2 linked regions of the Macaca mulatta genome follow. The protein of the gene in region 2 interacts with the protein of the main gene of each other region in a pairwise test. Links are inferred from orthologs where the notes say so. Each region holds a gene or a part of one and is shown on either strand. Other genes may lie near its edges.

What was found.
Region 1: the proteins of XRN2 (region 2) and TARDBP interact in binary tests that used the Homo sapiens proteins (3 or more experiments, as listed by UniProt). The link is inferred for Macaca mulatta from reciprocal best matches to the Homo sapiens genes XRN2 and TARDBP.

Annotation. Positions count from the first base shown.
Region 1 is NC_133406.1:229,708,380-229,712,029, forward strand, and holds part of TARDBP (TAR DNA-binding protein 43), read right to left. Parts: intron 1,816-3,650; coding exon 1,652-1,815; intron 245-1,651; coding exon 104-244; intron 1-103. UniProt on the Homo sapiens protein: RNA-binding protein that is involved in various steps of RNA biogenesis and processing.
Region 2 is NC_133415.1:62,749,373-62,753,822, reverse strand, and holds the start of XRN2 (5'-3' exoribonuclease 2), read left to right. Parts: upstream 1-1,515; coding exon 1,516-1,590; exon of another isoform or gene 1,591-2,274; intron 2,275-4,450. UniProt on the Homo sapiens protein: Possesses 5'->3' exoribonuclease activity. May promote the termination of transcription by RNA polymerase II.

The DNA of each region.
Region 1 (3,650 bases), on a different chromosome or scaffold from region 2:
GAACACACCCTACCACTATCTTTTCTAAGTGTGTTTACATTTTATCTTACAATCTTCTAAGGAAGTTTGTCAGCAAAAAATCCCAAAGCACAGACCCAAGTACCTTAGAATTAGGAAGTTTACAGTCACACCATCGTCCATCTATCATATGTCGCTGTGACATTACTTTCACCTGTGTTTCATATTCCGTAAAACGAACAAAGCCAAACCCCTTTGAATGACCAGTCTTAAGATCTTTCTTGACCTAGAAAGGATGATTTAAGTTTACTCTAACAGTACACATACACATTCCACGCCCAAATCATAGTTCCTTAAAAAACAATTTGAATGGTTTTAACTGGATGCAGTTGTTTAAAACTTAAACCAAGTTAGTCTTCAGAGTAAAAACAAGGAGGTTAATATTGAATCCATACCGTGTTAACAATAGAGCAAAACTCACTTATACAACAGAAATGTTTTTGAGTTCTTAAAAAAAAGAGAGATGGGGCCAGGCGTGGTGGCTCACACCTGTATTCCCAGCGCTTTCGGAGGCTGGATAACTTGAGCACAGGAGTTAAAGTCCAGCCTGGGCAACACAGTGAAACCCTATCTCTACAAAAAATACAAAAATTAGCCAGGTATAGTGGCATGCGTCTGTAGTCCCAGCTACTTGGCAGGCTGAAGCACAAGAATAGCTTGAATCCAGGAGGCAGAGGTTGCAGCAAGCCTAAATTGCACCACTGCACTCTAGAGCCTGGCTGACAGAGCCAGACCCTGTCTCCAAAAAGAAAAAAAGAGAAACTGAGTCTGGATTATGTTGGCTAAGGTGGTCTTGAACTCCTGGCCTCAAGCAATCCTGAGTCTGGATTATGTTGGCTAAGGTGGTCTTGAACTCCTGGCCTCAAGCAATCCTCCTACCTCAGCCTACCAAAATGCTGGGATTACAGGCATGAGCCACCACAACAGGATTTTAACAGAATGTCTTAGAATGAATTCAAAGATAAAAAGCTATTATCACCTAATTCCCTTAAGCCTTCACGCAACAGCAGGATTTTACAATATTGAAGGTAATAATATAGAGTACAAGATATGTGTGTAAATATAACAAATATTGGAAGTATCATTTGTGTAACAGGAAGTACAGTGCCATTAAAATAACAAGAATATGGCCGGGCACGGTGGCTCACACCTGTAATCCCAGCACTGGGAGGCCAAGGCAGGTGGATCACCTGAGGTCAGGAGTTCAAGAACAGCCTGGCCAACTGGTGAAACCCTGTCTCTACTAAAAAATACAAAATTAGCCAGGCGTGATAATGTGCGCCTGTAATCCCAGATACAGGAGGCTAAGACAGGAGAAATCGCTTAAAGACAGGAGAAATCGCTTAAACCCAGGAGGTGGAGGTTTGCAGTGAGCCAAGATAGTGCCACTGCACTCCAGCCTGGACAGCAAAGTGAGACTTGGTCTCCAAAAAAAAAAAAAAAGTAACAAGAATGTGGCTAAGGCATCATGGCTCAGCACACTGGGGTTGAGGTGGGAGGACAGTTTGAGCCCAGGAGTTCAACACCAGAGCATAGGCAACATAGTGAGACCCCATCTCTATGTATACCAATAAATAAATGCCAGATGCTCATTCACTGTAAAGAAAAACTGTTTGATGCAATCGAAGTTTACCTGCACCATAAGAACTTCTCCAAAGGTACTAAAATACTCTTTCAGGTCCTGTTCAGTTGTTTTCCATGGGAGACCCAACACTATTAAATCGGATGTTTTCTGGACTGCTCTTTTCACTTTCACTGCTGATGAAGCATCTGTCTCATCCATTTTTCTTTTGTTATCTAAATAAAATGAGCAGAAACCTTTTAGACTTAGCACTTCTTTAAAAACACTACCTCCTACATCCAGAAATGAGAAGCAAAAAGAAGACTCTAAGAAGAGTAAGACACTGAAAACTTGCAAGAAGTGATTTTTGCTCTAGAGGACAGAATAAAGGCTTAAGTTTAGTGTCTGAGGTGCTTTTCTGGTGCAAATTCAGTGATTTCCAATTTTGTTTTTTGTAGTACTTCCAGATTACAATCTCTCTCAAAAGGTTTATCAAAACAAAAATAATTCTACTTCACTTTGACTTTAAGTATCAGCAACTTGTATCTCCTGATGTAGATTTCACTTTTATCTTTCCTAAACATTCGACAATACACAGCTTTTGCAATAAAATGGAAAACCAGGCACAGTGGTGTATATGCCTGTAAGTTCCAACAACTCAGGAGGCTGAGGAAGGAAGTTCCAACAAACTCCTGCCTTAGAGTCCAGGAGTTTGAGGCTGCAGGGTGTCTATGAACAGCCACTACAATATGCCTAGGCAACAGAGCAAGAGCCCCCATCTCTAATTTCAAAAAAGAAAAAGAAACCAAAAGTTTGGCTTACTTAAAAAAACATAACCAGCTGGGCATGGTGGCTCACACCTGTAATCCCAGCACTTTGGGAGGCTGAGGCAGGTGGATCACAAGGTCAAGAGTTCAAGACCAGCCTGGCTAAGATGGTGAAACTCCATCTATGCTAAAAACACACAAAAAAATTAGCCGGGCTCGGTGGCAGGCGCCTGTAATCCCAGTTACTTGGGAGGCTGAGGCAGGAGAATTGCCTGAACCCAAGAGGCAGAGGTTGCAGTGAGCCAAGACTGTGCCACTGCACTCCAGCCTGGGCGAGACTTTGTCTCAAAATAAAATAAAATAAATAAATAGATAAAAATACAAAAATTAGCCGGTCGTGGTGGCAGGCGCCTGTAATCCCAGCTACTCAGGAGGCTGAGGCAGAGAACTACTTGAACCCCAGAGGTGGAGGTTGCAGTGAGCCAAGATCGCGCCACTGCACTCCAGCCTGGGTGACAGAGCAAGACTCCATCTCAAAAAACAAACAACAACAACAAAAAACTCCTACACAACCTTAACCTTAGGTTATTTAGAAGAGAAAGGGAGATAATTTTTTTTTTTTTTGAGACGGATTCTCATTCTGTCACCCAGGCTGGAGTGCAGTGATGTAATCTCCCCTCACTGCAACCTCTGCCTCCTGGGTTCAAGTGATTAAGTGATTCTCCTGCCTCAGTCTCCTGAGTAGCTGGGATTACAGGTGTGAGCCACTGTGTCTGGCCTGGAGAGATAAATTAAATGACATTTTTTTCTTTTCTTTTTTTTTTTTGAGACGGAGTCTCGCTCTGTCGCCCAGGCTGGAGTGCAGTGGCCGGATCTCAGCTCACTGCAAGCTCCGCCTCCCGGGTTTACGCCATTCTCCTGCCTCAGCCTCCCGAGTAGCTGGGACTACAGGCGCCCGCCACCTCGCCCGGCTAGTTTTTTGTATTTTTAGTAGAGACGGGGTTTCACCGCGTTAGCCAGGATGGTCTTGATCTCCTGACCTCGTGATCCACCCGTCTCGGCCTCCCAAAGTGCTGGGATTACAGGCTTGAGCCACCGCACCCGGCCCTTTTTCTTTTTTTTGAGACGGTGTCCCGCTCTGCTGCCCAGGCTGGAGAGCAGTGGCACCATCTCAGCTTACTGCAACCTCCACCTCCTGGGTTCAAGCAATTCTCCTGCCTCAACCTCCCCAGTAACTAAGACTACAGATGCAAACCACCGCGCCTGTCTAAGTTTTGTATTTTTAGTAGAGACGGGGTTTCACC
Region 2 (4,450 bases):
TGGGTGACAGAACGAGACTCCGTCTGAAAAAACAAAAAGAAAACAATAACCACCCCCGCCACACACACACACACACACACACACGCCAAAATGCTGGTTGAGGATTCTAAATGGCTCAACTTGGCCAGCTATCCCTGAACTGCCTATGGTGTGCATGTTCCTATAACGCACCTCCCAGGGAAACCAGAGGGGCTGTTTCCACGTAAAAGGAGGAATTTCACCACAGACATAATACTTTGGAATAGTTTTGACTATCCTTAAGTAAAACACGGGATGACAATTTCTCTAATTTCCACACTAGTAGTTTAAACAAAGTAGTCATCAGACCACAGAGGAGGGGCAATAAATACTGCCTGCGAGGTAACTCGGAGAAATACTTTCACAGAGGCCTCTTGAGGTGAGCATTTAGCACTGTGTGATGTGTGTCAAACCAAGAGGGGATTCAGGGAGACTTCCAGGCTTGAGCAAACGGACAAATAAACCTCCTCTTCCAGACCTCTCCTTACATATGAAAAAAATTCGTTTGAGACCACCAGAAAACAAAGGATAAAAGTATCGTGTTAGAACAAGGACGGATTAAAAATGATCTTTGCTGAATTGAAACAAGCTATGTGCGTAAGTGACTTAACCCCTCTATAACTTGGCTTTCTTGTCATTTACACGAGGGTGCTAACAGTACCCTCACAAGGCTCAAGTGATGATTACACAGGGCAATCCCTTAGTCAATGTCTTGGTACACTGTAAACGCTCAGAAAATGCTGGAAAATCACATTAGCAATTAGTTTATACCCATAATTGTAGCTAGAAGGTTGTATTGGATGCTAAACCCCGGCTAGATTCCATTCGGTAACTATTATAATTATTTATTTGCATAAGTAACAAGCAAATTGTTGGTGCAAACCAGCCATTATTACTGTAAAATACTTTAAAATGCTCCTTTCGATAGTCCAGTTACGTACTGTGGCACAAAACCAGGAGAAACCAGGAAATGGAAATAACGAGTGAGTTTTGATGCTTCGATTCTGTCCTAGATAGAGATAGGTGAGAATGGAGGCAAAAGAAGACATGTTCTTCCAAACAAGAGGTAACCAAACGGGCAAGGGAGACCTCCCCCCGGGCATGCAGAGCGCACAGATTCTGCGCTCAGGGAGCCGGAGGGCTTGGGGCTGGGAGACCCCGGCGGAGCCGCGGCAGAGTAGTCGCCCATGAGCCCCCGCGACTCAGACGCGCTCGGCTTCGCGCTCCGTGGCTGGGACCACCGAGGGCGAGCTGCAGCCTTCGCTACCCAGTCCGCTGCCGGACCCCGCTTCCGACAAGCAGCCCGGCCAGGCCCTTTTCCGCCGCTCTGTCACCCAGCCGAGGATCCTTCCCAGTTTCCCCGGCGGCGGCGCCGTGACGTCACTTCCGGTCTCAAGGGCGCACGTGGGAGGAAGTGCTGGTGCCCTCAGCCGCCGCTCCCGTCTCTTTGGTTACGCTCGTCAGCCGGGCAGCCGCCGCCTCCAGCCGTGTGCAGCTATGGGAGTCCCGGCGTTCTTCCGCTGGCTCAGCCGCAAGTACCCGTCCATCATAGTCAACTGCGTGGAAGAGAAGGTGAGGAGGCTCCAGGCGGCCGCCACACTCGAGCCGGGGGTCCTGGCATGTCTAGGCCGCGGCCCTCGGGCTCCGCCGCCTGCCCCCGGGGAGCCTTGCCGGAGCTCGCGCCCTGCTGCCAGCCTCGCGAGCAGTCGCAGCCCCACACGCGGTGGGACGCGGGCTGTGGGATTCAGGACCCCGGGGGCTAGGGATTCGGGACCCTCGGCTGGGCAAGGGCCTATCTGGTTCTGAACTCGGAGGGCCGCTCCTCCCCTACCCGCTTTTTCCCGGCACCGGAAGGCCCCGCCCACTGCTTTGTTTCCTCTCGAGACCGCGCGTTTTGGGTCTCGGAAGAGGTTCAGAGGCTGTTGAGCAATGCATGCCAGGTCGGCTGAGCTAGCGGGTTACGGATGCACGGATTCGGAGGCCTGCTTTTTGACAACCTTTTAAAGGAATCCCTGGCGGCGAGCTTTTCGTTGTTTATCAGTCGTGCCTGAAAGGTTTTCTCCTAGTGTTCAGGACCATTTGTTGTTCTGGTTAGATTGGGCGCTGAAAGCAGTATGTCAGGTCCAGGACGAACGCTATAGAATTCTGAGAAGTTACCCTTCTCTGTGTGCCCCGACTACTGGACAGGGTGGGTGCTTGTTGAAAATTTCAAGATTGCTGGATATACTCGAGCAGTACAATTTTTGTTGTTAATATGTAAGTAGATTTTTGGCCATTATTGAGTTTTGTTTTTATTGTTTTCATCATTCCGTGCGAGTTCGATTTTGTACACTTAATTAGAATTTCTGGATTGGAAATGTTCGGAGGCACATCATGCGTACCTCACTCCTTGGTTTTTGAAGGCAGTGCTTGCCTGTCAGTGTGAACTTATTTCTGCTTTTTTTTTTTTTTTAAACTTTCTTGGCTTCTATCCAAGGAGGAACCAAAAGCCTTGTTTTAGTGACATTCCCACTATTTCTTGTTTTTTTTTTTTTTTCAAAAAGCAACTGCTAAATTGAATGCTTGCTTCCTTTGTAAAATTTTAATCGAACTTTATTGAACTTTTACGTGGGTTAAACAAAAAGCAACAGTTCTTGCTCTACCCCTTCTCATCCCATTTCTCCACTTTTAACTGTTTTGGTTCTGTCTCTAAGTATACTTATACTTTATCGCTTTTAGATCTGTTGAATTCTAGCTGGATAGGAGAGGATTTAGTCACTTATTCAGCCTCCCTCTATACTCTTAATGGAGTAAATCACTATATATATTTCATTGGTAAGCTTTATAACTAAGTAATTTGCCTTTTTCATTCCATCACCTGTGTAAAGTATCCCTTGACTTAATGCTTTCTAAGGTCGATCTTAGCTTTTCTTCCCTTTCACCTCAAGTTTGTCAGCTGTACTTTGCGCTGTGAGCATCCAAAATTAAATGATCAGGGCTTTGACTATACAGATTTAAAAAGCTGAAAAATCAAATCGGATATTTGAGCATTGACACTGTGTGGATTCAAGTTATGTACTGCGATTTTGTTTTTTGTGCTGCTTTTGTCTTTTTCCCTGGGGATGCCTTTTTTTTTTTCCACTTTACATCTTTCTGCACCCAAACTCTATTTTACCAGGTAGTCTATCAAGAGTCTTTCTTCTTGAAGAGTCCTCCTTGGGGTCTTCTTTATTTTTGTTGCTGTCATACCTGGCTATTCTGTAGGCTTGCTGGAAAGCTGCATCTGGGATTTTATTATTATTATTGCTGTCATATCTTTCTTCAGTGGGAGGTACTGTTTTCTGGATCAGCATCTTTCTTCATTTGTTTTAGAAACGGAGTCTTCTTCTGTCTCTTAGGCTGGAGTACAGTGGCGTGATAGTGGCTCACTGCAACCTCCGGCCTCCTGGGTTCAAGCCATTCTCATGCCTCAGCCTCTGGAGCAGCTAGGACTACAGGTGTGCGCCACCACGCCCAGCTAAATTTTTTTTTTTTTTTTTTTTTTTTAGTAGAGACAGGGTTTTGTCATGTTGGTCCTGCTTGTCTTGAACTCCTGATCTCAGGTGATCCGCCTGCCTCAGCCTCCCACATTGCTGAGATTACAGGCATGAGCCAACACACCTGGCTTTTTTTTTTTTTTTTTTTTTGTATTTTTAGTAGAGACGGGGTTTGCCATGTTGGCTATGCTGTTCTCTGTCGTGACGTCACATGATCCGCCTGCCTGGGCCCCCCTTGTGCTGGGATTACAGGCGTGAGCTATGGCACCTGGCCCGTCTTTCTTCCTTTAAATCTTTTCTTAGTTTTTATTCTTAATTCTTAAGAAATGCTGTGTGGGATGTGAGATTTCCGAGTCATTGTAGGCCCCAAAATAGCTCCATTCTACCCTTATACACGTGAGTGATCATTAGCTAGGCATGGATTTCGAGGTTTTTTTTTTTTTCTTTGAGACAGCGTCTAGCTCTGTCACCCAGGCTGGAGTGCAGTGGTGTGATCTTGGCTCACTGCAACCTCCACCTCCCGGGTTCAAGCCGTTCTCCTGCCTTAGTAGAGATGGGATTTCACCATGTTGGGCAGGCTGATCTTGAACTCCTGACCTCAGGTGATCCACCAGCCTCTGCCTCCCAAAGTGCTGGGATTACAGGCATGAGCCATTGCACCTGGCCAGGAATTCGAGTTTTAGTATTAGGTTCCCTGAAAACTTTGAAAGAAATTGTTCTTTTGTACTCTCTCATCTAGTGGTGTTGATGACAAGTTCGGTGTTAATGTGATATATTTATTTAACCAGCAGTTATATAGCATTTACCGTTGTCTTAAGAACTTTATTAACTTGTTTGATCCTTACAACCACATGACTCCTACTGTTGTAATTATTTTTATTACGTACAAATAATAGAAGCATGATATTTAGAGACAA